Linked DNA regions of Mus musculus. The protein of the gene in region 3 interacts with the protein of the main gene of each other region in a pairwise test. Links are inferred from orthologs where the notes say so. Each region holds a gene or a part of one and is shown on either strand. Other genes may lie near its edges. The genes, in order: Pram1, Fndc11 and Trim27.

Region 1 (7,089 bases), on a different chromosome or scaffold from region 3:
GCACCAGTCCTGGAGCCCCTTGAAATGACTTAAAAGAACCTTCTGCCACACTGCTCCAGCCTAAACTGATTTCAGGGATACATCTTGCTGGGGCATCCTCCTAGGATGGGCTGCAAGGAACAGGATGGGTAGGATTTGCTTTGGTTTTGTTGCAAGGTTTCATCTAATCCAGGTTGGTCTTGATTGCTAAGTAGCCAAGGTTGATCATCCTGCCCCCTTCTAAATGCTGAAGTTACAGGTGTGCATTATAATTAATTGTACCCAGCTTTGCAACCTTAATGCCTTACTCTGCCATGTCTCTTCTGCACATGAGTGCTAGGCTTTATAAAGGGAACATGCCATACCATGATCTCACTCACACTGTCTAGCCTTGTTTGCCAACTTTGATTTCTTCAATTCTTTCATTGCTGTTCATTCTCTTGTCATCTCACTGGACCATGCCTCTACCTATAGCAAACCTGGCTGCTTGGGTACCTCTGGGTTTTCCCTGCCTCACCATCTGGCCTGTATGGATCACTTCGTGGTCTTAAACCTGGGGCATGAGAGAATGAATGCCTTTTTGCAATTAATGTTTCATGGGTGCCCAGGCCAACCACCAAGACCACCTACAAACCTCTGCCTCTGGGGCTGATACTAGAGTCATCTGTGGCCTCCACAGCATCATACAGTTCGTAGATCTCATCCGGGTTCCTGGAAGGATACTTAGAATGAGGACTTTCTTTAGCCTTACACCCATGTCTGACCCCACTCTCCATACACTCACTGTGCAATATGTTGAGGTTGTTGAGCTTGGAAGTGGGTCCCAGTAGAAGAGCCTGTCTTCAGTACCGCTGTGGAGGAAAGAGCAAGGAAGGGAAATGGCTCTGCGCAGATATTTAGCACCCTCTTCTGCCTGAGCCTTACCTGCGGCTGTTGCTGCGGCTCTCCTGAAGCTTTGGATATTGATGGGGCCAGGTGGTAGTGCGGGCTTGGCTGGGGGGTGTCCCAGGCTGCTGGCTGAGGGCAGGGGCCGCCGTCGGGGTGGGCGCTGGACTTGGAAGTCTTCTGATCTCCAGCGGGGTATCCCAGGGACTATAAGCCCAGGGCTGAGAGGGCACTGGGGGCTGGAGCCCGCACTAGCAGAGGGCAGGGAGCATTCAGACACTGAACCAGGAAGCTTGGGCTTTCTAGGCAGACCCTTGGGGAACTCAGGCTGGAAGAACTTGCCGTGTTGAGGCTGCAGAAACTTCCTCGGGAGCGAGTTGAACTCGGGGTCCGAGGATGTTCTAGGGAGGTGACCCAATTCTGGCTGTGAGGGCTTCTGAGAAAGCACATTGGGGTCTGGCTTCTGAGTCTTTTTGGGAACCTTGCAGACTTCAGGCTCCGAGGATGCCCTGGTAAGGTCACTTGGCTGGAGCTGTGGATGCTTCTTAGGGAATGCATTGAAGTCTGGCAGCGGGGAGTGAGACTGGGGGTTACATGACTCAGGCTTCCGAGGGGGTGTCTGGGGGAACTCATAGAACATGGGCTGCTTTGGGGACTTGGGGCAACCAGTGGCTTGAGGATATGAAGGTTTCCTAAAGTTCTCATTGTTCTTAGGAAAGGTACTGATGTCAGGCTGTGGGGAGTGAGAGTCAAGCTCCCTGGACCCACACTTAGAGGGGGATGTCTGAGAAACTTCGATGGACTCTGACTGTGGCTGGGACTTCCTAGAGAAACCAACAACAGCCTCAGGCTGCAGTGGCTTCTTGGGAAAAGTACTGGATTCAGATGGCAAGGGCCTCTTAGGTGCCTCATTGGCCTCAAGGTGCCAAAACATCTTGGGTTTGAGCTCTCCTAGAGGCCTGGCAGGATTGTTAGGCTCGGGCTTCAGGAGCTTCTGGGCAGGAGGAGCACTAGGCTCCTGGGGTGTCTCAAGCTGTGGAGGTCTCTTGGAGAGCTCTCCAAACTCAGGTTTTGGGGGCTTCTTGGGGAGGCTGGCAAACTGGGGCTGTGGGGGCTTCTTGAGATCTGTGAACTCAGCCTGGGAAGGCTTTTTGAGACCTGTGAACTCTGGATGTAGAGGCTTCCTTGGGAATTCAGCCTGTACAGGCTTGTTGGCTAGATGAGGGAACTCAGGCTGTGGTGACTTTTTAAGAACTCCAGGCTGTGGGGGCTTCCTGGGGAGGTCTGCAAACTGCAGCTGCAGTGGTTTCAAAGACACTGCACTGAGCTCAGACTGTGAGGACTTCTTGGGCTGCTCACTTAACTCAGTCTGTGGAAATTTCTTCAGGACTTTGTTTAACTCAGGCTTTGGGGTTTTTCTGAACAGTTCTCCAAGTTCTGGCTGAGAGGTTTGGAACTTAGCTTGGAGGTTTCGGAAGTCCTGATTGCTCCCCTAAAAGACATGGGTCATTCAGGAAGGCTCTCATCACAAGGCGGCAGATGGAGAAACGGTTACAGTTGGTCACAGGCACACAAACCCATCACCCTCCTCTTCCCTTAGGTTCTCATTCTAACTTTGGTTCTTCCCCAATCTCAGCTTCTCTTTTTGGGTAAGAACTACTCCTGTCCCCAGGTTCCTGGAACCCACGCCCTCCAGACTCCTCCACCTAAGCTGTGTCTAACCTCTAACAGGACCTAACTACTTATTCCTTTCTACTAGCCCATGGCCCACGCTTCTGATCAACAATATCTTCAACCTTTGTGCTTTGTGCCACTGCTCCCCCTTGACCTCTCTTTGCCCTCTGCCTGATCACCGGTTCTCCCCAGTCCTTTTTTTTTTTTTTTTCCTGATTTCAAAATACATCCGGAATTCAACTACTTCTCACTGTCACCCCAAGTAGAGGAACTGCCCTCCACAGTCCAGATCACTGTAATGGGCTCCTCCTCCGTGGTCTGCTGCCCTAGAGGAGGCCTATAAAGTGTCTGCTCCCAATCTCTCAGCGAGTTCATCTCTGAGGAAAGCAAACAGTCCCTGAATGACTCAGCAGTGGTCCCCCCACCCCGCCTCTGTCCTGTCTGTAATGCATACCACTCAATGCATGGGTCTCTCCTCTTCCTCCTCTGTGTCTTTATGATAATGCTCCTTAAGGGTGACCTCGGAGATAACCCCATTTTAAATCAGTTTTCTCTTCCCAGTTGCCCACAGTCACCAACATTTTCTACTCTCTTTGTCTCCCATTACCTATGAAGTTTTTTATATTAGTTCTTATATTAGGGTTGTTTTGAGGATTTTTATTTTTGTGGTGTTAGGGATGGAACTTAGCACCTTGCTAAACAAGCTCTAGCAATGAACTATATCTTCCCAGTGATGAGGGTTTTTTGTCATCGTCCTCTCCTCCTCCTCTTCCTCCTCCTTTTTTTTAATTTGTTTTTTGAAGCAGGGTCTCATATATCCTGGGCTGGCCTCAAACTTGCTTTATAGTTGAGGATAACCTTCTGCCTCTGCCTCCCATGTGCTGAGATTACAGGTGTGTGCCACCATTAGTTTAGCTTGCTTGCTTGCTTTTCTTTTTCTCTTCTCTCTTCTCTCCTCTCCTCTTCTCTCTTCCTCTCCTCGCCCCCCTCTCTTTTTCTTTCCTTTCCCTTTCCCTTTTCCCTTTTTCCTTTTTCCTTTCCTTTCCTTTTTTTGTTTTTTGTTTATTTTAAGTCAGTTTCTCACTATGTAGCCCAGGCTGGGATTCAACAGTTCTACTGCTTCAGCCATCTGAGTGCTGGCATTACAGGTGTATACCACCATACCCATTTTGACTATAAATTGTTAAAATTTAGTTGGGGGGACTAGAGAGATTTCTCAGTAGGTAAAGTACTTGTCATGCAAGCCTGAGTTCTAGCTTCAGTACTCATACATAACAAAGTCAGGAGCAGTACCTGTCATCCTAGTTAGCTCTGGAGAGCTTAGGCCAGGAGGCCCTCTAGGGCTTGTTGGCTAGCCATTCTAACTAAGTTAACAAGCTCTACATACATCTATCTAAGATGTGGGTATTAGGTGTCATAGTCCCTGACATGTCTCATGAGGACCAGAAGGGAGGCTCCCCAAATGTACAGGCACTATATGATATGTTTAGAACATTTCTGGTGCTCTCAAGTCTGACCTGCTCTTTGCCATAGGTGCTGGTAGATATCCCCAGCCTATCTTCACCAAGGGTAAAAAAGATTGGAGGACAGAGAGGACAGAACCTTGTAAATCTATCTAGAGATGGACTCAGAAGGATCTCTGGGAAGGAAGCAATTCTTGCCTGGGGTCAGACATTTCTTTGTTGAAGCCCCAGTCTAAGTGAGTTGATGACCACAAGGGTAGATAAGGAAGGGTTTAGCAGAGCACAGCTTGGGTAACGGACTGGAGATGGGGACTGGTGTAGCAGGTGCGTGACCCATTTAATCACTTCACAGGAAACCTCTGCTTATATCCCAGCTGCTGACCTGGATTGAGGGTATATCATTCCAGGCAGACCCAACCAGCACCACACTGCCTTGCAGTCACAGATACAAAGCTGGTCCACAAGAGCTCAAGCTATTATGCCTTGGTTGTTTCTTATCTTTTCCTGTGCCATCTCATCCCCAAGACTGTTCTAGCTCTGTTCTGCTAGGTTACCCATGAGGGCATATTTACCAGTTCCCCAGTTTCTACTTGGGACCCTTGTTACCTGAATGAACTTCCAATGGGGGCTTGAGGACTCACCATGGCTTCAGGGGATGATGAACCACAGGGTGAATGAGCTCTGAGCTTAGGCTTCTGCCTTGAGGAAGTTAAGTGTGGTTTCTGCTCCACGGGCTGACACACCAAGTCGGAGCTGTTGGGCTGGGGAGGGCAGAGGAGGAAGGAGGCGGAGATAGCCTTTCTGTCCCCTCCTTGAGTTCCTGCCTGTCCACTACTGTCCCCAAAGTCAGGTCATTAGACCTAAGCACATCTATAAAGCACAAGTTTCCTAGCTCCTACTAGCCTCTTGATTCCCTATTGTCCCCCTTAGTTTTAACACTTTGGGGTCCTGACAAGCTTTGTCTCTGAAGAGGCAAGCTTAGGACAAACTCAGGACAGTCACAGCACCTTAGTGGGGATTTTATGGCTTTCTCTGGGTCTTAAGACGTCTCTAAAGAGGTAGACCTAGGATATGGCTGTTGCAATGGTGAGGACATATCTGTCCTCCTGTATTGCTTCATCTACCTTGTTTCACCATTTGTACTCTCAACAGGACTTCCCTGTTAAGGTGACAAATGCCCCATCAGCCAGGGCTATGCACCCAAAGCATCATCAACTGGGATAAGCAGACTTATGGGTGGGTGGCATTAAAAGATGTCTAAGTCCTGGGCTGAAGGGACATCACTGTTGCTGTGAAGGTATGGGGTTTTAGGACCTCTCAAGTTCACAGTGGTTAAAGGAAGCAGAGAGAGGAGAAACAAGAAAACTGGATTGCAGGAAAATGAAGCCCAAAGTGGGACAAAGGTAGATATAGGAAAGGAGAGCCCTGACACGTGATTCAGTCCACAGGAACAAAGAACACTCAGCAGGGTTCAGAGGTATGATTCTCAGTTTGGGAACAGAATAGAATTCTTTGAGCTGTTAAAAAAATATCTTCCAGAGATTCTGATGTCACCAGTCTGGGATGTGGTCCAAGGAGGAGGACTACTTACACCCTAGCAGGATGGTTCTGGTGTATAGATGAGTGTACATGTGTCTATGTCCCTGGAGTCACAAAGTACATGCTCTAAGCAACTGGCGTAGTGGTGCATACTTGTAATCCCAGCAGAAGCAGGAAGTTCACTACATTTCCAAGGTTAGCCTAATCTACATAGTGAATTTCAGGCCAGCCAGCACTACATAATGAGACCCTGACTCAGAAACGTAACCAAAAAAGTACATGTTCTACCCAGGTATAGTGGCACACATCCGTAATCCTCGCATGTGGGAGAAGAGGATATTAAGTGCATGACCATCCCCCGGCTGGAAAGTTGAGACCCTGTGAAGGAAGATAACATAAACTAAATCCAAAGTTTGTAGCTCTGTTGGTAGTGTACTTATATAGCATGTACAAAGCCTTAAATCTGATTTCTAGAATCTCATAAAACAGCACTTGGGAGTTAAAAGCAGGAGGATTGGAAAGTCTGGTAGTTTAAGGCTATTGTTGCAGTGCCTTGTAAAAATACAATGAAGCCGGGCAGTGGTGGCGCACGCCTTTAATTCCAGCACTTGGGAGGCAGAGGCAGGCGGATTTCGAGTTCGAGGCCAGCCTGGTCTACAAAGTGAGTTCCAGGACAGCCAAGGCTACACAGAGAAACCCTGTCTCGAGTAAAAGAAAAAAAAAAAAAACCCACAATGAAAACCAATCTTAGAAACAAAATAAATATATGTTTTGACTTAGGTGATGGGCCTGCTGTTGGGTATTATAAGGCTGATAGAGTAGCAAGAACTTGTATAACTCTTGGGAATGAGCCAGGTATGGTTTCAGCTTATTTAAATGGAAATAAAGCAGCTTAGGTTGAGAGGCACACCTTCCTTATTTTAGCACATAGCATCAAGATTCTGATGCTTGTTTTCCTGTCTTGGGTCACAGTTCCTAGAGACGAGTCTGCTTTTATAGGAGTCTCAAGTGGATAGTTTCCAGAATCTTGGTGAATGGAGTCAGGTAGAAATATGAAAGAAGCCACGCCACGCCTATAATCCCAGGTACTGGTTGAGAATATGGCTGGTGGATGTCAGATTCAATTCAGGTTTGGTAACTGAGTGGAGACCCAATCTCAAAACCGAAAACAATGAGTCAGTGAGATGGCTAGGGGTTGTGGTTATGGTTAAAACATTTGCCACACAAACTGGATGACCATAGTTCGATTCCTGGAACACATGTAAGGTGGAGGGGAAAAACCAACCCCACAGCTGTCCTCTGATCTTTATGCTGGCCTGAAAGCACACAGTAGGCCATCAAGGCCAGCACAAGCTAAAGGATTGAACGGCAGGAGACCCAACAGGGGAGAATGCAGGGTTGTTGGTAACCTCCCAGCATGGCTGGCAGACTGTATTTGACCTGCATGAGGATGACCTGGTGGCCCTAACTAAACTATGGAACTAGAAGTCTAAAACAATGGAGGGCCAATTATTGTGGTGTTCCTGGAAGATCTGGGAGTTCTTTGAAG
Region 2 (7,089 bases), on a different chromosome or scaffold from region 3:
ACCCACATTAACACACTCCCTCCACACCTACTCCAAGAAGGCCACACTTCCTAATAGTGCTACACCCTGGGCCAAGCATATTCAAACCACTATAGAATTGGAGCTTAAGAAGAGAAGAAATCCCAGATCCCATTGGTAACAGAGGCACAAAGTATGGTGGAGGTGAGGCAGTGAGCCTTGAGGAAGGCATTAGCACTAATGGGCTCTGCACAGGTTGGGGAGTGGGCTATGTGAACCAGCTCCTAAGTACCTAGTACCTGAAGTAGCTTTGTTATGTGTCCACCTCTAGGTTACATCTCTCTGGACCTGATGGGGCACAAGACTGGGCCATGGTTGGGGATGGGAGTGCCAGGCTACTAGACCCATGTATGCTTCCCTTAGCCAGCCCCCATTCTAGGCCTCTCCTGTCTGATAGAGTTGCCATTACCTATACCTAGTCTCCACCCTACAACACACAGGCTATCCATTCTGGATCTCTAGGATGACTATCCTGTGAGATATCCATGAACAATTGGCACTTTGACCACATGCCACAGAGAATGACAGTCCTGATTTGTAGGAACCTTGGTTAGATATGTGGCTAGAGCTAGCTACCTGGCTTACTACCTAAGCTGAGCCCCAACAGGCCAAGCACATCCCCAGTGGGGAAAGTAGGAGGTCTTTATTACGCCCTGTCTTACCCAGAAAACTACTTTGCCAGTGGGGGAGGATTCCCTGTCCTTTACTACCCGATCACCCGCTCCTGCCAGGCTTGGCCATTTCAGAATGACTCCCACCCATGGTATATGTGGTAGGGAGGAAGCTGGGCTTAGAGTGTGCTGCATCAGTTCTTCATATTGCTTTAATCCATCCTTCTGCTTTGCCCGGAGGTGACTGAACCTGTATCTACCTCTTCTATCTCATAATTATTCTTCTCTGTGTGTGTGTGTGTGTGTTGACCTGGATGGAAGACCTTAATGTCGAGGTGTCCTGGACAGTAGTGAGGAATGTGGTTACCTGTGTGGGCTGAATACCATCAGCTAGCTACTGAGGTCAGCGCTGTAAGGGTGGTCACTTTTCAGAAGCTGTGCATCATCGAATGTCTTTGAGAGGTTCCCAGCCAGGCTTCCTCTCTGGGACCCTCACACATGTGGGGTGCCTATGGCACTTCATCTTACTTGGGGAGAGTGTAAGACCTTTATTTTAAAAGTAAGAAATCATGGTCCTGGGCATCCTTGTTTCCAAGGCAGCTGGGATGCTAGCACTAAAGCTATGACTGCCCTCAGTGGTGTCCAAACAGGCCCAAAGTATCATCTTCCTCAGAGAGCTCAACCTAGGAGGCAGGGAAAGAAATCTGGTTCTGGCTGTCCGGATGAGGGGTACATAAGGTGCTGAGGCTGAGGGGCTGAGTTCCCTTGAAGCAGCCAGGTACCGGTGGCCAGCTCTCTCTTGTTCTAGAGTCCAGCCGGGGGCTCTCCTGGAAGAGACAGAAGGCAAAGGGGTTCTGGGACTTGTGGGGTGTAGGGCCATCAGGAAAACACATAGCTGCTACTTTCTTAAGGCCTAAGTAGGGTTGTGTCTTTAATTTGGTGTGTGTATACTCCTCTTTATTAGTGGATAAATATTAGAAAATCATCTCTCAGAAGGTGTGGTCAGGGGCAGGCTGGGCTTACCCAGCCTGGGGGCAGGCCCCTCAGGGGGTCCTGGCGTGGTCTGCAAGGTGAGGCTGTCCCGCCAGGGCTCATAGACCAGGGTGTAGCTTTCTGCCCTCTTGATAGTGAACTTGTAGGTACGGTTGGGCAACAGGTTGTGGACATCAAAGGTGCAGGCAGCCACAGGGACTATGCCACACTGTGTACACTCCTGTTGTGTCCTGGGCTCCAACAGCTTGAAGCGCAGTTCATACTGCTCTGGTGCTGCCGGCTGGATGGTTACAAACCAGCGCAGGCTGACCCAGTCCTGATGCGCCACTGACTCCTTCCGGTCGAACATAACTGGCATCTTCGTGCTCAGCATAAGCCGGATGTGTGGGATTTTGGTGGCTCCAATGTCAGATACCAGGCGGTGCTTGACATGCAGGTGTCCTGGTACCATCATGGCCAGGAAGTTGTCCATGACAACTGATAGGTCTGCCAACTGCTGTTCCACAAGCCCCCAGCCTGCCAGGAAGGGCCGTGGGTCAGGGGCCTCAAGTAGGGCATCCAGTGCTGCCCGGCCATGGTCCAGCTGCTCCAGCAGGTCCCCAAGCAGGAGGAGCTGGATCTTGGTCTGTGCTGTGCCCACCTTCTTCATGCGCTGGAACTTCCAGGGATCAATGAGCTGGAACATGGTGTTAGGTAGCACCAGCGGGTTCTGGTCACCCAGGGCCAGGTGCTTAGGGAGAATCTCAATGTAGTAGGAGCACTTCTTGAGCAGCTGCATGCGGGCATGGTGGCGCTTGAGCAACTGGGGGCTCAGGTCTGTGGTCAGGAACTCACGCAGCACGTTGCGGCGCTCCATGTATGTCCTCCAAGCCTCTGGCTCCAGCAGCTGCTGGTCCTCTGCCTCCTCCACCTCCTCTGCGTCCAGGAAGGAATGTGGACTGTCCAGCTTCATTTTGTCCAGGGCCAGGCCTGTCACCTGGAAGTTCATTGTCTGGGAGCTGAGGGTAAGAACTAGGCATCAGCTGTGACCGTCAGATTGGCTCTGCCCCTCATCAGCCTCTGCCCCATAATGGCTTTTGCTCTCCCCTGGGACACAGCTTTCTGATCAGAGACCCCTGGAGGGGACAGAATAGTGGGCTGGGTACTGGGCAAAAGCAGATGATAAACGGGAAACTTCTATCAAGGGGCCAATAGTATTTTGTGGCGATGAGCTAATGGGGCTTATCAGACAGAGTGGGCTACAGGGACCAGAGTAGCCTGGGGAGAAGCTCTGGGATGTTGATTAGTTTTGAGACAGATCATAAGTCTCAGGTTCCTCACCTAACACAGGTCTGTGCCCAAGCTTAGGGTGATTCCCCATGCTTCCCAGTACTCTCCAGAGACCAGGTACACTGCAGGGGTGCAATGCTCAGGGACCAGGCTAACCAAAGACAAGACTCTACATCATCCTCACATAAAGGGGGGGGGGGGGACCTTGTGTGGCTAAGAACAGGGTAGATCCTCTCCCACCATCTCACAGATGGGGGTTGGGGGGAGTCTAACGCTAAAGCTTGTTAGGTTGGTCTTCCTTCATGGTCACTTTTGATTTTGACAGAACATCTCAGTCTGTTGTTCAGGCTGCCCTCCAACTCCTGTGCTCAAGCAGTCTTGGGACTCCAGGGGTGTATGCTCCTGTACCCAGTTTATCCCAAAGCTGGAACTGTTGACTCCAGAGTCAGCCCTCCTCTCCTTGTCCCCATACCTTTCCCCCAAATCTGGTTGTCTGTGGAGAGGCTGGTGTGCCACAAAGCCCAGTAGCCAGAGATCCCTGGAGAAGGTACCAACCTCCTGCTAGCTGTCCCTGGCACTGGGCCAGTGGCTTCACTTGGAAATCTCAGTTTGTGGAAACTGGGCTTGGATGAGCAAGAAACAGAGCTAAGAGACTGGATGACTACCTCAAAACCACACAGCTGGATAGTAAGATTGATCATGTCCCAAAGACTAATTCAAAGTGATTTGTGTGAATGGTGGTGCGTGCCGGGGGTGGGGGGTGGGGGGGGTTAGAACAGGCATCTGAGACAGCAGAGAATGGTTCCTGGCTGAATGCTAGCTGAGATCAGGGCCCCAAGACCCTGAGTCAACAGTTCATGGCCGCTAGAAAGCTCAATGGAAGTCTCCATAACTACTTCCCCATCTAAGCTATTCTATCACCCCTCCCCCTCCGTGGAGACTACCCACCCCGAGCTTCTGGGCACACCTCCTAAACTCCTCTACCTACCACTCCTCTTCCGGATCACCTCCGTGAGCCCCAGCCCCGCTCTGCAAGTGCCTGGCCGCCCGCTTCCTGTGCGGAGCCCAGCCAGAGCTGCAGGGTGCACTGCCAGATCCGCTCCCCCTGCCAAAGGCCTACTTGTTGCCATGGGAACCACTGGCCCTTGTGACGCTGTGCACATCCGGCCCAGGTGTAAGGAGCTCTTGATTTGAAGGCTAAATTTTGATATACGGCAGCAGCGATTTATGTCCAGGGCCTCACGGACTCGAAACAAACTCAACTTCAGCCCGCGCCACGGGCTAGTGGAATTGTTCCTCGGCATCGTGTTTCGCAGCAGTCCAGGAGCCTGCGGTGGCTGGGTCAGCAGCTTGGCTTGCAATGGGATTCTATGCAACGCAGGAAACTGGTGTCTTTGAGTGGGACAGAGCTGGCTGCTGGGACTCAAGAAGCCAGCAGATGCCAGTGGAGTGCAGGGAAGGGCCACCTGTTTGACATTCCAAGCCAAGCAGCCGCCTATGGGTCTCAAAGACGATGAGAAAGGAAGTGATATAGCAGCAGATGGCTAGGATCTCCTTAGCAAGCAGTCAGCAAGGTGAAGGGGTCTGGTTTTCCCAGGCCTCCAGAAACTCATGCCCTGTCCCCTCCAGTCTGAATAAACGGAGTCCATAGCTCTAGGAATCCTCAAAGGAATCCCCAAGTTGCAGTCTCATACTCCAAACTGGGCTTTGGACCCCTAGATTTAACACCCAGGTCCTTCCTCTTTATGAGCTAGCTTGGGGTTACTCCTAGCAAGGGTCTCAGGGTCTCAGCCACCTGAAAGCTGCTGACTCTTTTCCACTCGGTCAGTCCTTCTAGATTGGGTTTGTCTGGACTGAGTTACCTGGTTGTAACTCAAGTTTGCTACCAACTTGAATTATAGCTAGAGCTCCCAGCCCTCCTGATGGCATCTGACGGTGCTGGGGAATAGTTTTCCTATCTGTCAACCTATATTGGCTACAGACCTCAGAGGCCCCAGAGGGGGAGGGGGAGGAGGGAGAAGCGATGGGTGCTGGCTCTGTGCTCATCTAGGCTAGTTAGTCATGGTGGCCAGTTTGAGGGAGAAAGGGATGCCATCTGAAGGTCCAGGAGGGAAACTGGCCCCTGGGGAGTAGAAGAGAATAAAAAGCAGCAGGAAGAATACCAGCGCCCAGCTCTTCCTCAGGAAGGAGATGGGTGAGGCTCACTACCCTGTTCTTAGGGGTTGGGCTTGCTCTGGGTCTGTGAAAGCTGCTCTGCTCCACTTGATCGGTCTTTTTTTTTTTTTTTCCCAGTCCTAGTTTTAAAATTTTTAATTTTTTAGATTGATTTTTATGTATATGAGCATTTTACCTGCATGCCTGGTTCCCACAGAAGGCTGGTACCCACAGAGGTAGGAAGAGGACATTGGATCCCCTGGAACTGGAGTTAGGGATGGTTTTTATTTTTCTTTCTCTTTCTTTCTTTCTTTCTTTCTTCCTTCCTTTCTTTCTTTCTTTCTTTCTTTCTTTCTTTCTTTCTTTCTTTCTTTCAAGATTGATACATTTATTTTATGTGAGTACATGGTTGCTCTCTTCAGACACACAGGAAAGGGCATTACATTTCATTACAGATGGTTGTGAGCCACCATGGTTGCTGGGAATTGAACTCATGACCTCTGGAAGAGCAGTCAGTGCTCTTAACCGCTAAGCCATCTCTCCAGCCCTATTTCTTTCTTTTTAATTCTTTATTTTATGCTCAGTAATGTTTTGCTTGTATGTAAATCTGTGTGAGGGTGTCAGAAGCCCTGGGACTAAAATTATAGACAGGTTTGAGTCCCTATGTAGGTGCTAGAAATTGAACTTGGGTCCTCTGGAAGAGCAGCCTGTGCTGTTAACTGCTGAGCCATCTCTCCAGACCACAGGTGGTTTTTTGTTTTTTTGTTTTTTTGTTTTTGAAAAGTTAAAAATTCCTTAATTTTTTATTCCTGGTACCACTACCACAATTTACAGGGCAATATACCTGATGTAATGAAAAGAAAAAGAAAAAGACAAAGCTACAACAGATAAAAGACCTCAGGAATGTACATCTAATTGACACTACATTGCATTAATCAATAGCTGTACTTTTTGCAAACTGTGGCTATGACAGTCCTGAACAAGAAGGGTTTCCTGTTTAAGCTGCAGTAACTTTTCTGACTATGGATCATTGTTCCTTCTGTGGCAGATTTTTACAGTTCCTCTAATGCATTTGGGACGACTGTCTCAAAGTGACCTGCAGCTTTCCTGACAACTCCTTGCTCTCTCTCCTGCTAAGAACTGTAGCCATTTCTGTTTTATTTTAAAACCTTCTGCTACCATATCCCCCACTTCCACCTCCAGATCCATAGCCACCACCATAGGGACTGCCTGAGCTTCTTCCACCAAAACTGCCCCCCTTCATGGGTCCATAATTTGATTGTTGCTGTCCACTATAATTTCTAAAGTCATTATAGTTTCCACCACCACCATAGTTACCTCCACCAAAATTTTCTCCTTCATTGTAACCATCATAGCCTCCTCCTCCTCACCATATCCACCACCCTGGTTTCCATATCCTGGTCCACCACCTCCATAACCTCCTCTACTACTGTAACCAGGACCACCACCATAGTTGCCACCATCACCTCCAAATCCATTATATCCACCATCACCACCTCCATAACTACCTCTGTTGCCACCACCTCCACCACCATAGCCACCTCTTCCACCAAAGTTTCCTCCACAACCAAAGTTTCCTCCACCACCTCCAAAGTTTCCTCCACGACCCATAAAGTTGCCAGGTCCACCTCCACGACCTCTCTGTGATCCAGCAGACTGCATCTCTTGTTTAGAAAGGGCCTTTTTCACTTCACAATTATGCCCATTAATAGTGTGCTATTTCTGAACAACAATTTTATCAACTGTGTCATGATCATCAAAAGTTACAAAAGCAAATCCTCTCTTTTTCCCACTCTGCCTGTCTTCCATAACCTCTCTGGTTTCAATCTTGCCATACTTTTCTGAGTAGTCTCTCAGGTTATATTCTTCCGTATCCTCTTTAATACCACCAACAAAAATTTTCTTCACCGTTAAATGGGCACCGTTAAATGGGCTTTACAGAATCCTCTCTAGAAACAGCTCTCTTTGGTTCCACCACACGCCCATCAACCTTGTGTGGCCGAGCACACATTGCAGCATCCAC
Region 3 (7,089 bases):
TAACAGGAAAGCAGTAATGGATGTTAGGTGTATGAATGAGCATGATTATGTATGATAAAATCATAGACATCTAATCTCAGTATCTATAGTTCCACCTTGATGAAAAACCTTCTTCACCTTTCCCAAACATCTTAAAATAATAAAAACCTACTTAGATACAAGTAGCAACAGAAATGGCAGGTCACAATTTGCTTACTACTGTAGTACCTCACAATCCCTTTCCAGTGACATTTATTAAAATCTATGATAACCATTTACTTATTGTCTGAACTCCAAACTAAAACACAATTAAGGAAAGCTTATTCACCCATCACTTAATTCCTGTGCCCTCCATAGTACTTAAACAAATGGAAGAGGGCTCAGTGGTTAAGAGCACCTACTGCTTTTCCGAAGGTTCTGAGTTCAAGTCCCAGCAACCACATGGTGACTCACAACCATCCGTAATGAGATCTGATGCCCTCTTCTGGAGTGTCTGAAGATAGCTACAGTATACTTACATATAATAAGAAAGAAATAAATCTAAAAAAAACAACAACAACAAAAGACAAACAAACAAACAAACAAACAAACAATGGAAGACGAGACAGGAAGGCAGGCAGTAGTAGTTCATCTACTGTGGTCTTTCCCTGGAGAGCACTTGGCTTCCCTCAGTTATACCAGCACAGGTCAATTATAGCAACATTCAGGTTAACTACCTGCTCTCCACTCAGTATTCTTGCCTATGGTTAAAATATATGTCTATATTACAATTGCTGGATGATGAAAGGGTCTTGAATGACCTGTGGCTCAAATGCTTTATTATACATAATCTATTCTGACTGAGCAAATGAGATTAATGAGGCCCTAAGACTGTAAAGGAAAGTGCAGGAGAGACCCAAGGACTAGGTTTTTCTTTTGCCTTTTCCATACACAATGCAACTGAAGAACTGAGTAGTGTCAACCACAACTTCTAGCATACGCGTTTTCCTTCCAAAATGCTTAACACTTCAGCTGTTAAAGAAGGACACAGGGAAGCATCATGCTGCCTGATGAGGTAAAAGCTGCTGTCCTGCAGTGCTCTCTTGGTTACCTGTAAGAGCTCCCGCGTGGGCTGCTGCTGCTTCTCTTCCAGTTGGGCAATCAGGCCACTGAGGTGGGAGATGTTGCAGGAGAACTGAGTGATGGCCCCGTTGATGCTGTTATAGATGGCCAAGTCGAGCTCCTCAAGGCGAGCCAACAGGCGGTACTCATGCTCCTTCAACGAGTGATAGAGCTGCTCAAACTCCCAGACAATTTTTTCCCTCTCCATCTGAGTCAGGCTCTGTGAATGACAAGCAAAGGTAAGAAGAGGAAAGGCTCACTGCTAGAATCCCTCAAGATAATCTCCATGATTTAACCCCAAGATCTCACCATTTCAAATTATACTAAAATACACACTATACTCACCCACTCACTTTCCAGTCTTTACACACCAGATACACAAAGACCATGAACTGAATTACTTCAAATATTAAGAAACAGTCCCTGATCTTAAGGGACCCGGTCTAATCAGAATCAGGTCCATCTACATCATGGATGAGTGAAGACATCGTGGGAGAAACTGAATAGTCTTCCTAAAATCTGTGTTCACGCAGGGTCTTATAGACTGCCATGTAAGCATGAACTAGATAGGCTTTCTAGGTGAGCAAATGGTACAGGCTACCAAGTGGGGGGCGAAGGCACATCACATTGTTCCACATGACTGGAGCCCATGAGCATCTTGCCTGGCAGACTGAGCGTCATCAAACAGCCATACAGAAGTGTCAGGGCTAGGTGTGCACTCTGTGGACGTGACCTGGTATGATCAAGCAAAAGTTTCCTGGACTTGTTTACTTGGTCTCAGTAAGCCATGCCCTGATTTTTTGGGGGAGTCTTTATGGGTTCCTCTCCACACAATGTCTCTATTACGGTTTGTCCATCTTTCCTTTATTTCTTTCTAATTCCTCCTTCCTTCCTAGCACTTGGAAGGCAGACATGGGAAGACTGGAACTTCAAGGTCATTCTTAACTATATAATGTATTTAAGATAAAAAAAAACCTAGAGCTCTAACTAGGAAATTATAAACCACGCAAGGCAGTGCATATCCACACTCCCAGCACTTGGGGGGAGACTAAGGCAGGAATATGGAGAGTTCAAGCCCATCCTGGCTGCACAGTGAAACTATTTCTAAATAAGTGGTCAGCAAGATGGCTCTAGAGCAGTCAAGAAAGATTTTACTTGAATCCAGCCAAACCTACTCATTTATGTATTACACACGGCTGTTTTTGACATGCACTAACTGGGGTGCTGTGATTCGGCTTGTGTAAACTAACAAAGCAAAACTACTTACTACTGGCTCTTTTCAGAAAGTTTGCTAAAACCTGACCTGAACTCAACTGCTCCAAGAGCCCTCTACTCAGACCTCTTTTAAGCTGGATAAGTCTTTCAAAGTCATAAAGCACACAATATAATCTTAGGTAACATTAAAGCTAAAAATAAATTCATGCAATGTATCCAAAGCAGTGTGACTTACACCCTGGCACAGGTGTTTCTTACTGCAGGCCACTTGGCAGCCTCGTCTCACTTCCACACACTGTCTCTGATTCAACCCAAAACACGTATTTCAAGGGAAGAAGCGGCAGCACTGGCTGCTGGAGATCCACAGGTTTCTTAGGTCTGACCTCTATTCCAACAGAAAGAAATTAAGGCCCGGAAAGCCTGCACCCACTCCACTTAAACTGGCTAGTGTCTGACCCAAGAAGCAGGCCCAGGGTTCGGGATTCCCAGGGGCTAGTTCTCTCTGGACAAACCTCCCAAAGCTGATAGGCTCTGCTTAGAGGCTTCTCACTACACCCCTGCCAAGGCCGAGAACTGTCAGGGATTTTCAGAGCAGTTCAGAAGCTTACTATCCTAATGCAATCAATTCCTCTGCAGGCTGGAGATCTGGACCCTTACCAAAAGCTCAGCTCGGGCCTGCTCCCCCTGTGCCCGCCGTCTCTTCTTCAAGTCTTTCACTCTTCTTAGGTGGTCCAGTCGGTTCTGGATTTGCTCCTGAAGAAAGTAAATAGTCGGCCAGTTCAAGATTTTGCAGATCTCAGCATCAGAATACTCTGCTTTTCACACATGAACCCAAACTACAGATGCCAAGGCCCCGCTGGACTCTCTTCTCAGACCATAATGCCACTCCTGGGAAGAGCCCAAAGCACAGGGGCCAGCAAGTGTGTTAGCAATTTGTTATTTAAACTCTAGCCACCTACCAGTTCCTAGAAGCGGTTACAAGACATCTGGGTAAGGAGGCTCAAAAGGTAAGCTATTTCTCAGATGAATACAGAAAAAAAAAAAAGATTTATTTTCCTCAAAGAATCAGTAAACATTACTAAATTACAACTTATCTCCAGCGAGTGAAATGATACAGGTGACAGCTTTGTAAACGTGACTGACATTTGGATGAACTCACACTTAAACAAATATATAACTCTGTTGGTATAGATCCCTGCAGCCCTCAAGATCATTATCACTTCAGAGCTACTTTATATGTAACGTTTTCGTACTACTGTGTAGCTGTGCCAGTGTTTATTCAACACTCCACAAAGGTCCTGTGAGTTCACTTCCCCTTCACAATAAGCCATCTCCCGAGTCTGAGAGTGGCTAAATGATTTACTTAAGCAGTAAAAAGCTCTGTTCATTTCCATTCAGTTCTAAAACAGGTTTACAGGGAAGTGCTGGGGACACAGATTAAGTGATGGGCACTGCTCGATGTGAATTCAGCCAGCCAACAGTGACTGTCTGGCTTGGTATCCTGGGTCAGAGCGAGTTCGAGGCGTTCAAGGCCTATGGAAGTGTACTTGGCTCCATGTGCATCTCCTTTGTCAAGGGAGGGTCTCCTCGCGCCGTCCCAGTCGCGGCACGCGTAGAGGCGGTTAGCAGGGGCGCTCGGGGTGGGGGTGGGGGTGCTCCTGGCCTCGCCAGCTACAGGTTCTCCTTCCCAGTCTGAGTGCGGAGGCTCCGCAGCCGACAGGGAGGAAATGACGGCGGTGGGCCCCACGTCCGGCTCGCCATTTTCTCGGTATCAAACCAGGAAGCCCCCGGCTCGCCCCTTTGTCCGCCGGCCCGGCCCTACCTTGAAGCCCTCCACCGCCTCCTCCAGGGGCAGCACGCTGTGGCCGCGGTGCTCGCGCGAGCGGTCGCACACCACGCAGATGGGCATCTGGTCCTGCTCGCAGTACAGCTTCAGAGGCTCCCGGTGCTTCTCGCACACGCCCATCTCGCCGCCGGGCCCCGACGGCCGCTCGGTGCGCAGCTGCTTCACCAGCTGGGTCACGTTGGCCAGGTGCCGGTTGGGTCGCATGTGGCGCTGCGGGAAGGTCTCCCGGCACTGCGGACACGACACGTTAGTCTCCGCGGCACCCCAGCAGCGGGCCAGGCACGCGCAACAGATGTTGTGGCCGCAGTCGAGCATCATAGGCTCCACGAAGTACTGAAGGCACACGGGGCAGGTGGTCTCCTGCTGCAGGCACTCGGCCACGCTCCCGGAGGCCATGGCGCGGGCCGGCTGGGCCGCAGGGCATGAGCCCGGAGCCGAGCTCTGTCGGAGCTCAGCGCGCTCGCTCCGCTTCTCGGCTCCGGAGCGGGGCGGGGCCTCCGGCGCGGGGATCGCAGACGCGCGCGGAGCTCTCGGGCGGCCAGACCCGTCCCCGCACAGCTGCTCCTCACCGACAGCACGGGGAGGAGGCCTGGGCCCCGGAGCCCGGCTGAGAGCCGAGCCGAGGGGAGTCGGGAACCGGGCGCCGCGGGCTGGCTCACCGGGCAACGTGGCCGCGTCGGAAGGGGTCCCGCGGCCGCGCAGACTCCTCAGGGCCGAGCGGAAGAGGTGGGCCGGGGGCGGGGCCTGGCTTCCCGCGCCGCTCTGCTCTCTCGGGGCGGGAAAGCGGGTTTCCTCTGCACAGTCCTGGGTCCCCGGCACCCAGCCCGGGAGTCGGTCGTGGCTGTCGCGTGCAGTGGGAGCAGAGTGTCCCCTGGCAGTGGCGTCGGGTCACTCCAAGCGTCTGTGGGCCCGTAGTCTTCTGCTGAGTTTCCTCTTAGTGGCTAGGCCTCGGCTCCTTTAAAAGTAAGATGGCTTTGCATAAATGCCGGAAAGCTGGGCGGGGAGACCAGCTAGGCCCCTCCCAGTGTGACACACCCAGCTCCAGGCGTTAACAATCGCTAGAAAAGGGTTTAATCATCAGCAACTTTTCTCAGGGGCAGAAACGGAGAAGCCCAGTTCTATCTCCACCCTAAAGTAAATCGGTTTATCGTTCCGAGCCTCATTTTCTTCTCGTGTGAAATGGGGACCGATCGAATCCCGACCAGAGTGCTGACCAGACCATGAAGTCCTCCCCCATCTCCCTAGCTCTACCGTTACTAGGGAGCCACCCCACCGAGAGCCCGCTTGTGAGTCCCTAACTTCTTCTCAGGCTCCTCAGGTGCCCAGTGTCTCACTTCCTCAAGTGAGTAGCCAGACCCGACGTGTCAAAGGGCTGCCTGGCGACACACTTCTCTCTCGTCTTCCCTGCCACCTGCTGAGGAACCTACGTGGCTGTGGGTTCCTATGAGACCCTCGAAGAAACAACCCGGATTCTGCCACGTGGGCCTCATTCTCAGAACACTCCCCCACCCCCACCCCCACCCCCACCCCTCACCTCCAGCCTGGGCCCTGCGGCGCTGGGGCCAAAAATTCTGATTGTCCACTGTAGTGTTGTCCTTCTGCCCATGACGTTAATAACTCTTCTAATAAGTTCTTACTCCCAGCAATCTAGTTCAGTGCCCTCCTTGAGCTCCCATACCCTATTGCTTTCAGGAATTTTCCCCATCAAGGAGTTACACCTTTTTAAACAAACAAACAAACAAACAAACAAACCACAGCTTGAGCATAAAGATCTTTATCCGCTAGTTTAAATGAAGCACCCAGTACATCGAATGACATTGAGTAGAACCTAAAACTTGCTTGTTTCTGCCCAATCGAGAGTCCTGTGATGACCGGAGGAGGTCTTGTAGCCTGGTTTCTTATCACAGAATAGGTTTTCAGTTCTGTGCGCTGTCACTTATGCCATGGCCTTTCCTACTCTCCTTTGGGATTGACTCCGTGCCTGCCCTTGTGTTTGAGCAACAGGGAATTTCTGTATCCAGGCCATCACTTCACTGGATTCTGCTTGATTCTTCCCTATGGGACAAGAAATCCGAGGTACTTAACAAGTCTCGCTCATCCAAACCTCCATTCTCCCCACCTGCTCTTTGAAACTCCAGGCTCAAAACAACTCAGCACACTTCCAGTAAATGGTAGAATATTTGTCCTAGGCTACACTGTAGTCTACTCTGCTACAAAACTGAAGTTGAAAGGAATTGAAAGTGCCAGTCTTACTCCAGAAGGAAGAATTCAGTTTTGCAAGCCGGTGTAGAACTATGAAAAATGCAGGTGGCAGATATGTGTTCTTAGGTCATCAGTGCGGCTCTGGATTTTAGCTTTGTCATCCAGGGCTCATGCGGTCTCTGCTTTCCTAACCTCAAGGCAGATGGCCTGGACAAGCCAGGTAAGTAGGGCAAGGTGGAGGAAGTAGGGGAAAGGAAGCGCTCCCCCTTCCAGGATTGCTACAGGCTCCCTCCTTTCTCAAGCGATAACTGTTTTCTCTTTCTCCACTAATTTAGTAGGCTTGTCATGAGCTTTATGGCTGAGTTGCCTACTCATTTCCAGTGTTTTCAGTGTTAGAGCTCGAACCCAGGACGTTAAGCTAGGCAAGTGCTCGTCTCAGACCCATCCACGCAGTTTTTGTGTTTGTTCCTCCACCTTGGCCTAAATTATTGCAATACCTTATCTGTTTGCAAATGACTTGGAAATGATTCAGTAGTTAGATGAATGAAATTGCTGCTATGAATTTTTTTTTAATCAACTATAGTTGTCAGAGAAACCCTGCTGCTAAGGTTGATATCTGACATTACCAAAAACCACTGAGCTTGGTACAAAATGGTGGACTCCCTTTGTCAGCAGGGCTTCTTCTTCTCTGACCTTGTCTGGAGAGCTTAGAAATGCCCTCCTCCCCCTTACCATCTACCTGAAGA

What was found.
Region 1: the proteins of Trim27 (region 3) and Pram1 interact in binary tests that used the Homo sapiens proteins (3 or more experiments, as listed by UniProt). The link is inferred for Mus musculus from reciprocal best matches to the Homo sapiens genes TRIM27 and PRAM1.
Region 2: the proteins of Trim27 (region 3) and Fndc11 interact in binary tests that used the Homo sapiens proteins (3 or more experiments, as listed by UniProt). The two-hybrid records come from large-scale screens. The link is inferred for Mus musculus from reciprocal best matches to the Homo sapiens genes TRIM27 and FNDC11.

What each region holds. Positions count from the first base shown.
Region 1 is NC_000083.6:33,635,731-33,642,819, reverse strand, and holds the start of Pram1 (PML-RARA-regulated adapter molecule 1), read right to left. Parts: upstream 4,765-7,089; 5' UTR 4,646-4,764; coding exon 4,643-4,645; exon of another isoform or gene 4,608-4,642; intron 2,357-4,607; coding exon 904-2,356; intron 831-903; coding exon 764-830; intron 691-763; coding exon 614-690; intron 1-613. UniProt on the Homo sapiens protein: May be involved in myeloid differentiation. May be involved in integrin signaling in neutrophils. Binds to PtdIns(4)P.
Region 2 is NC_000068.7:181,216,925-181,224,013, reverse strand, and holds Fndc11 (fibronectin type III domain-containing protein 11), read right to left. Parts: upstream 3,981-7,089; 5' UTR 3,880-3,980; intron 2,621-3,879; 5' UTR 2,611-2,620; coding exon 1,612-2,610; 3' UTR 1,565-1,611; downstream 1-1,564.
Region 3 is NC_000079.6:21,177,943-21,185,031, reverse strand, and holds the start of Trim27 (zinc finger protein RFP), read right to left. Parts: upstream 5,102-7,089; 5' UTR 4,538-5,101; coding exon 4,118-4,537; intron 3,049-4,117; coding exon 2,953-3,048; intron 1,301-2,952; coding exon 1,070-1,300; intron 1-1,069. UniProt on the Homo sapiens protein: E3 ubiquitin-protein ligase that mediates ubiquitination of various substrates and thereby plays a role in diffent processes including proliferation, innate immunity, apoptosis, immune response or autophagy.